Oryctolagus cuniculus: one gene and its partner. The protein of the gene in region 1 interacts with the protein of each later gene in a biochemical or structural test. Links are inferred from orthologs where the notes say so. Each region holds a gene or a part of one and is shown on either strand. Other genes may lie near its edges. The genes, in order: BMP7 and ACVR1.

What was found.
Region 2: the proteins of BMP7 (region 1) and ACVR1 form a complex in vitro, tested with the Homo sapiens proteins (2 studies listed by BioGRID). The link is inferred for Oryctolagus cuniculus from reciprocal best matches to the Homo sapiens genes BMP7 and ACVR1.

What each region holds. Positions count from the first base shown.
Region 1 is NC_091442.1:4,586,085-4,590,343, forward strand, and holds the start of BMP7 (bone morphogenetic protein 7), read left to right. Parts: upstream 1-1,246; 5' UTR 1,247-1,385; coding exon 1,386-1,803; intron 1,804-4,259. UniProt on the Homo sapiens protein: Growth factor of the TGF-beta superfamily that plays important role in various biological processes, including embryogenesis, hematopoiesis, neurogenesis and skeletal morphogenesis.
Region 2 is NC_091434.1:84,308,018-84,311,875, forward strand, and holds the end of ACVR1 (activin receptor type-1), read left to right. Parts: intron 1-1,118; coding exon 1,119-1,249; intron 1,250-2,087; coding exon 2,088-2,222; 3' UTR 2,223-3,305; downstream 3,306-3,858. UniProt on the Homo sapiens protein: Bone morphogenetic protein (BMP) type I receptor that is involved in a wide variety of biological processes, including bone, heart, cartilage, nervous, and reproductive system development and regulation.

The DNA of each region.
Region 1 (4,259 bases):
TCAGGGTGAGGCTCTGCTCTGCTGGGTAACAGGGGAGGAGCCTGAGCCCGGGGTGGGGGAGGGACGCTGGCGGGTTCCCAGGCGGCTGGGTCCTGTGGGACACAGGGTCCTTTACTGATGGTGGGGGAGGAGAAAGGTTGGGGTGGGGCCCCAGGTCACCACCTGCTGCTGTCTGCTCCTCCCCGGGCCGATGGCGAGGTGGACAGTGGCTGGGCTGGGGCTTTCAGACCCCAGACCGAGGGAGGTCTTGTTCATTCCGTGAAGGCTGGCCACAGGCACGGGGTGGGGGGGGGGGGGCGGGCGCTGGGCTCCCAGGGCGTCGCGGCTCTAAGCGGGGCAGACGGCACAGTAGAGAGTGCAGTTCCGCACAGTGAAAGAAATTAAGGAAAAGAGAACAAAGTGGGTGGAGCCCAGGAGAGGACGCTGCTCGCCAGGGCGTTGGGAGCGGGAGCTCCGGGCAGAGGGAGAGGCAGGCCCCTGGAGGCGCGCAGGCCAGCGGGGCTGCAGTGCCAGGCGGAGGGGGCTGAGGGACCAGGCGGAGCCGGGGCCGCCGCCTCCCGGAAAGCCTGCCCCCTCCGCGCCGTTCCCGGCTTTTCCCAGCGCAGCCCGATCTCCATCGCTCCGGCCCGGGGCCTCCTTTCTTGCCCCCGAGGGGGCAGGGCCGGCCTGGGGTCCTCCCTCCGCATCCCGCGCGGTCGGGTCCCGCGGCGGGCGCCCCGTGGCCACTCGGTCAATATTTGCCGAGCGCGCTGGAAGAATGAATGAACCCATTGGGCACAGCTGGGGGGAGGGCGGGGCCGAGGGCAGGTGGGAGGCCGGCCCGGGAGGGGCCGGGCAAGCCCGTCCTCCGCCTCCCGGCTCGCAGGCCCCAGCGCGCACCGCTCCGGGGCTCCGGAGGCGGCCTCTGGGGCGATCAGGGGCGCGCGGGGCTGTGAGCGCGAGCCGGGGCCTCGCTCTCCCCGCCGGGGGTCGGCAGAGGGTGGGTCGCGGCCGCGCGAGGCGAAAGCAGCCGGAGGAAGGAGCGCTCGCCCGCCCGCCGCCTCGCCTCCTCCCCGGCGCTCGCTCTCGGGACGCCTAGGTTTGCTGGCTGCTCCTCCCACCCGCGCCCGCCTCCTCGCTCGCCTGCTTGCTCGCTCGCCGGAGCTGGTTTCCTAGCCGTGCGGTGCGCCCGGACGAGCGCGGGGCAAGGGGCCCGGGGCCAGCGCGGAGCAGGGTGGGGGGCGGGGGTCGGGGCAGAGCGCAGCCGGCCGGGGAGGGGCCATGTCTGGCGCGGGCGCAGCGGGGCCCGTCTACAGCAAGTGACCGAGCGGCGTGGACGGCCGCCTGCCCCCTCTGCCACCTGGGGAGGCGCGGAGCCTGGTGCCCGGAGCCCGCGAGCCGGCGCGATGCACGTGCGCTCGCTGCGAGCCGCGGCGCCGCACAGCTTCGTGGCGCTCTGGGCGCCCCTGTTCCTGCTGCGCTCCGCCCTGGCCGACTTCAGCCTGGACAACGAGGTGCACTCCAGCTTCATCCACCGGCGCCTCCGCAGCCAGGAGCGGCGCGAGATGCAGCGGGAGATCCTCTCCATCTTGGGCTTGCCGCACCGCCCGCGCCCCCACCTCCAGGGCAAGCACAACTCGGCGCCCATGTTCATGCTGGACTTGTACAATGCCATGGCGGTGGAGGAGGGCGGCGGGCCCGACGGCCAGGGCTTCTCCTACCCCTACAAGGCCGTCTTCAGCACCCAGGGCCCCCCTCTGGCCAGCCTGCAAGATAGCCGCTTCCTCACCGACGCGGACATGGTCATGAGCTTCGTGAACCTCGGTGAGTGAGGGCAGGGCGGCCGTGAGCGTCTCCGGTGGGGGCGTCTCGGCCCGGGGAGGGGGCCACTCCGCCCGTCCAGCGCGCCCATCTTTCCGCTCGTGGCCGGTTGCAACGCGGCAGCTGCTGTCTCCGGGTGTCCGAGCCCTCGGCCCTAGTGGACCCAAGCCGTGTGCACCCTCAGGTAGGGCGGACCGGCCTCAGCTGGCCTGTGCAAGTTGCTGGGAGGGAGGGAGGGGCCGACCGGACCGGAGCCCCCTCGGAGTTAGGTCACCCGCCGGGCCGCGGCTCAGTTCAAAGCGCCGGGGCTGGGTCATGTGAGCCGTCCCGGGCCGGCGCGGCCCCGCGCTACCTGGATTTAAAGGGCCGCGCTCGGGGAAGCCGCCTTCCCGCCCTCCCTCGGCTCCTCTCCCCGCAGCTGGGCCCCGGCACCGCGGACGTCGCCTTCCCTTCGTCTCCCCGGCGAGCCCTACCTGTCCCCTCGCGGCGCGCCAGCCTGGGCGAGCCGCGCGCTCCAAGCGCCTCTGGGCCCCTCTCCCGGCCGCCGGGCGCCCCCCTCGGCCCGGGCTCCCACGGCCGCAGCTGGGGAAGAGCCGTTGCCATTGCGAGCTTTCTATTTTAAATATGTAATGATAGGTCCCGGGCGGGCAGAATCCATTTTCAGCGTTTATCACGTGTGGCGCGCAAACCACCGGTTCTGGCGATTGGGTGGCGGGCGTCTCGGTGCAGACACCGCCGGGGGCGCCCGGGGCCCCCGGTTCCCGGCCCCAGCTGCCGGGAGGCGGGGTGGGGGCGCGCGAGGCACGCACCAGACTCGCACAAACTCACCCCCGGCAGCGCGCTCTGAGCGCTGAGGATCAAATATTTGGTTTCCGAGATAACACGCCCGGGTTAGCCGCTTTTATTCTACGTGTGCGCCGCGCCGCGGAAACCCAAACCAAGTCGGGGCAAGAGACCCACGACCGCGGGCGCCGTCAACCAGGAAGCGAGGGACACCGAAGCCCGGCGCTGGGCACAGGGGCGCGCATGGCGGCGGCTGGGGGCGCCCCGGGAAGCGCGGATCCGCCTCCCGGGCTTCCCGCTCCAGATAAGGTCCCTGAGGTTCCCGGGAGGCCATTGTCTGCCCTTAATAATGGCCAAGATCAAGTTGGGAACCGGAGCTTCCGCGGAGAAGGGGTGGAAGGGTCAGATGGCAAAATAACTTCGGGAAAGTTTAAATGAGGCTCTGCCGCCTGTTCAAGGGGGAGGCGGCGTCCTGGGTTTTGATCGAGAGCAATTCCCGGGGAGCCTGGGGTGGCAGGGAGCAAGGTGCAGGCCTCGAGGGTCACATGGGTGCTTGTCCCACTGGGACAAGATCTGGCAGCGCGGTGGGGCTGGGGGAGGGAGCCGGGGCTGTTTTCCTCCTGCGATTCCCTTTTTATGTTTGTCTTTATTGAAAGCAACATTCCGAATGTGTACATACAAGTCGATGAGGGCACTTGGGGCTCTGTGGTCCTCCAGGGCCGTGTCTCGGGTGGGGTTTGTGGGATCCTGGGTTCTGTTGTGTGCCGGTGGCTCCCACCGAGTGCGGCATCTCAGGTCCCGGCAGCTGCCTCCGGAGCTTGGCCAGGGTCATTACAGAAGTATCCGTAATCCCCAGCTCCTGTCCAGGCTCTGGAAAACCCAGCAGAAAGTACCCAGTTGCTCAGGCACAGGCAGCATGGCCGGCCCGGGAGAAGAGCTGGGTTGCTATGTGGGGGCCCCTGGACACTTGGCTGCACCGCCCCCCTCCTGGCAGCGGGAGCAAGCCGAGACCTGTTTGGGAAGGCCGCAGCTGGGTGGCTTTCCTCTGGCTGCACACACACCTTTCAATCCGCGGCTTTCATCTCGAAGGGACAAAGACCTGCTTGTCTGAGCCTCTTAATCAGCGGGGCTGGCTCTGGGCTTTGTGGACGCCCCCGCAACATCACTCCACATCAGAGGGCAGAGTGCATGGAGTTGTTTTCTTTCTCTCTCTGTCCCTAAACTCGAGGTGACGAGGTGGCTGAAGACCTGGGCTGCAGCCTGTGGACGCCTCCAAGGTCGGCCTTTAATTTCTGTGCAGTGACGGCACGGGGGTAAACTCGCTGTCTCTTCTGATCTACTGCTCGCTCGCTCGGAATTTCTCCATAGGAGGGACTTCCCGGGGGACTGGGGAGGGCTGGGGGTGTGTAGGAGACTTGTTCAGGCACTTGGATGGCTGCGAAGGACACTCTGTTTTTCCCCGGGGTTGCGGATCACCGTGGTGTGTGAGACACAGTTTTCTCCAGGATGGTTGATCCTGACACTTCACCTAGGGGAGAGGAATCACTCGTTCATCTGAAATCACCGCTCGTTCTCATCACAGGGGGGCTCTGGGGGCCCTCAGCTAGGATCTGGGGGGATGAGGGGGCAGGCGGCCTTCCCCCAGGGCCCCTCCCCCAGCGCATACCTCCGCTGCC
Region 2 (3,858 bases), on another chromosome or scaffold:
TTCTAAACAACTGGAAATCACTGAGAAACTGAAGCTGAAAAGTAGCCACGTCCATATCTGTTTTGGTGTAAGGGAGAGTTTATCCACCTTGCCTCGTCCTCTGCCTTCCCAGAAGGCTTATCTCTCTACATTTTATTTTGTGCCTTCAATATGAGACTAGGTAAGAGTGGCCTAAAACATATATCCGTGTCTGTAGTTGATGGGAACTCAGTACATGTAGAATGAATGAGTGGGGAAATGAGTATTTCATATGACATTATTTGCATCCCTTCCAGTATCCCTTCCAGTTGTAATTTTTTTACAAAATAATTTCATAACAAAAAGGGATATTTTGATTTTTTTAAAAAAGATTTACTTATTTATTCAAAATTAATATATATATATCTGAATTTTGAATAAATAAGTAAATATATATGTATATATGAGAGAGAGAGAAAGATATCTTCCATCTGCTGCTTTACTCCTCAGATGGGCACAGCTGCCCAGGCTGGGCCAGGCCAAGCTTCTTTGGGTCTCCCATGTAGATGGCTGGGGCACAAATACTTTGGCCATCTTCTGTTGCTTTCCCAGGCTATTAGCAGTGACGCAAACATTCATATGGGATGCCAGCATCACAGGTGGTGGCTTTACTCACTGTGCCACAGCACCAGTCGCTGATCATAGTTTTGATTTGCTTATTTGCCTGTTTGTGAAAAATTGTTATTTCTATTCCTGGTTTGAAATCATTAGATCTTTGTACTTTCTTTGAGGTGTCTTATCCCTTTCTGATCACCAAAGGAATTTTGTCCTAGACCTGCTATGCTTTATTGGGCACAATAGAGCTGTGCATATCTACTATTGCAGCATTTTTTTTCAATAACTGTGATTATAAGAGAAGTGGTCATATAGTTTCCTCTAACAGTTACCATTCCTGTAATTCCCTGCAAGGTATATACTTATTGCCTTGTTCTCTATTTACTTTAGGTTCTACCTGTAGGATCCAGAGCTGCCTTGGAGCATGAGGAAAGCGATCAGTTAGGTCTTTCCCCTGTCCCATTACAGTCTGTGACAGCCCTCCTAGATCCCCGGGGCAACCTCTACTCCCTTGCTGACCTAACGCCGTGCTTGTCCCATTGCAGGTATAGTGGAGGATTATAAGCCACCATTCTATGATGTGGTTCCCAATGACCCAAGTTTTGAAGATATGAGGAAAGTAGTCTGTGTTGATCAACAGAGGCCAAACATACCCAACAGATGGTTCTCAGACCCGGTAAGAGTTTCTGTATTTTGGAGCTGTCCTCATCTGCTGTTTGCTCGCTCTTGAGTTTGAGCTGGTGAAGTATCTGCATCATCTGCCCTGTGTGTCTGTTGCCCTTCCTCCCTATTTTATGAATTAGGCTCCTAAACCTTGCTGAATAGATTCGGAAAAGGAATTGTGCCTGATAGATCTTGCTAACTAACGACCCTATTTATGAGAATTTCAGTGATTTACTAGCTCTCCAGGAATTAGGACATTCATTCCTACTACTGCTAGCCCTAGGGCTGTAGTTTCAAGGGTAAACCAAGAAACCCTTGAGTGCTGGTTTGAATCTCCTGTCCATCTACATACCTGAAATTCCAAACATAAGCTACTCAGTGCTGAAGATCCTGTAGTCATAAATACAAAGGTACTTCAAAAAATTCGTGGAAAATTGGAATTAAATGGTAAGTTTATTTTGGTATAAAAAGTTTTGAAATCCCTGCATTCTTACAGTAGCAGATCTCAAACACTGAGAACTAATACATTTGTAAATTGTAGTATTATCTCTGGTTTTGTATTACTGCTGTTAATGCCCATAACAGTATCAAGGGGTGCATCATGGCCTGTGTAATTTACCTGATAAAGTAAGCTGGTAGTCCAAAGGACAGAGTCCATGAAACTTAAGAGCAGCTTCTTTATCAGCAGTTAAGACCTTGAGTATTTGCTTAAAGAAGATGGAAAAATAATGGCACCTTAACTTCACAAGACCTGCCAAGTTCTTCAGAACAGCTGACGTGGCTCCTGCCCAGCTTCCAGGGTCATTGAAAAGCCAGTTTGTCATTGTAGTGTGTGTCCTTTCTCTCCACAGACACTAACCTCTCTGGCCAAGCTGATGAAAGAATGCTGGTATCAGAATCCATCTGCAAGACTCACAGCTCTGCGTATCAAAAAGACTTTGACCAAAATTGATAATTCCCTAGACAAATTGAAAACTGACTGTTGACATTTTCGTGGTGTCAAGAAGGAAGATGTGACATTGTTGTTGTCCAGCTGGGACCTCATACCGGCCTGACTGGCTGTCAGAACAGAATCCCTGTCTCCCTCCCCAAGTGGCTGCTCTGACAAGGCAGATATCTTACCCAGCTGTGTGCTGGGGAGACACCAAAACCACCCTAACCTCGCTCAACGACTGTGAACTGGGCATTTCACGAACTGTTCACACCACAGAGACTAATGGTGGGCAGACACTGCTGCAAAGGTAGGGAACTGGAGGAACACAGAGAAATCCTAAAAGAGATCTGGGCATTAAGACAGTGGCTTTTGCATATCTTTCACAGGTCTCCTAGACACTCCCCACGGGAAACTCAAGGAGGTGGTGAATTTTAATCAGCAATATTGCCTGTGCTTCTCTTCTTTATTGCACTAGGAATTCTTTGCATTCCTTACTTGCACTGTTACTCTTAATTTTAAAGACCCAACCTGCCAAAACATTGGCTTTGTACTCCACTGGGCTGTCTTTGGTTAATAGGAATTCAATTTGGCAAAACAAAATGTAATGTCAGACTTTGCTGCATTTTACACATGTGCTGATGTTTACAATGATGCCGAACATTAGGAATTGTTTATATACAACTTTGCAAATTATTTATTACTTGTGCACTAAGCAGTTTTTACAAAACTGCCGTGTGCAAATGTTAAAGCTTATTTTTATGTGGTCTTATGATTTTATTACCGAAATGTTTTTAACACTATACTCTGAAATGGACATTTTCTTTTATTATCAGTTAAATTCACATTTTAAGTGCTTCACATTTGTATGTGTGTAGACTGTAACTTTTTTTTCAGTTCATATGCAGAACGTATTTAGTCCAGTACCCATGTGACACCACCGAATATATTACTGATTTAGAAGCAAAGATTTCAGTAGAATTTTAGTCCTGAACGCTGTGGGGAAAATGCATTTTCTTCGGAATTATCCATTATGTGCATTTAAACTCTGCCAGAAAAAAATAACTATTTTGTTTTAATCTACTTTTTGTATTTAGTAGTTATTTGTATAAATTAAATAAACTGTTTTCAAGTCAAACAGTGAAATTGTTTTTTAGTGTATGAAAAAGATCTGCATAACATAAAGCATTTTGCAATAGAAACACAAAATTTGTAAACTGATTTTGCTTTTCAGTTCTGCTAATGACCTTGAGGGTACAATAATGATGTACTACAGCTTGAATTTGGTATCAGAAAATTTGATTTTTATCTGTTTCTTCTCTTGGCTGTGGTTGCGTTTTTCCCTTTAGTTTCCCCAGCTATAAATCAGTTCTGTTACAGAACTCTCTGAGCTGCCTTTCTCCCAAGGAGACTGTGAATACAAGTGGGAGGAAGGGTAGCAAAGCATTTGGTTTAGTAGTTAAGTCCGATGTGAGCATAAAGTGGTCTTAGTCCTTAGTCCCACCTTGCTGCTTGGGAGAGTCCGATCTTGGTGTTTCTCACTTCTTGTACGCAGCAGGAGTCAAACAGTAGGGTTTAGAGCAGTCCAATAAGAGAAGAGGGGAGAAAATCCTCGAGCGTCCTGCAGAGGTAAGTTAGTAACCTCATTAGCATGCCTTCACTCGGAAAGGATATATTCTAGTCACATTTAG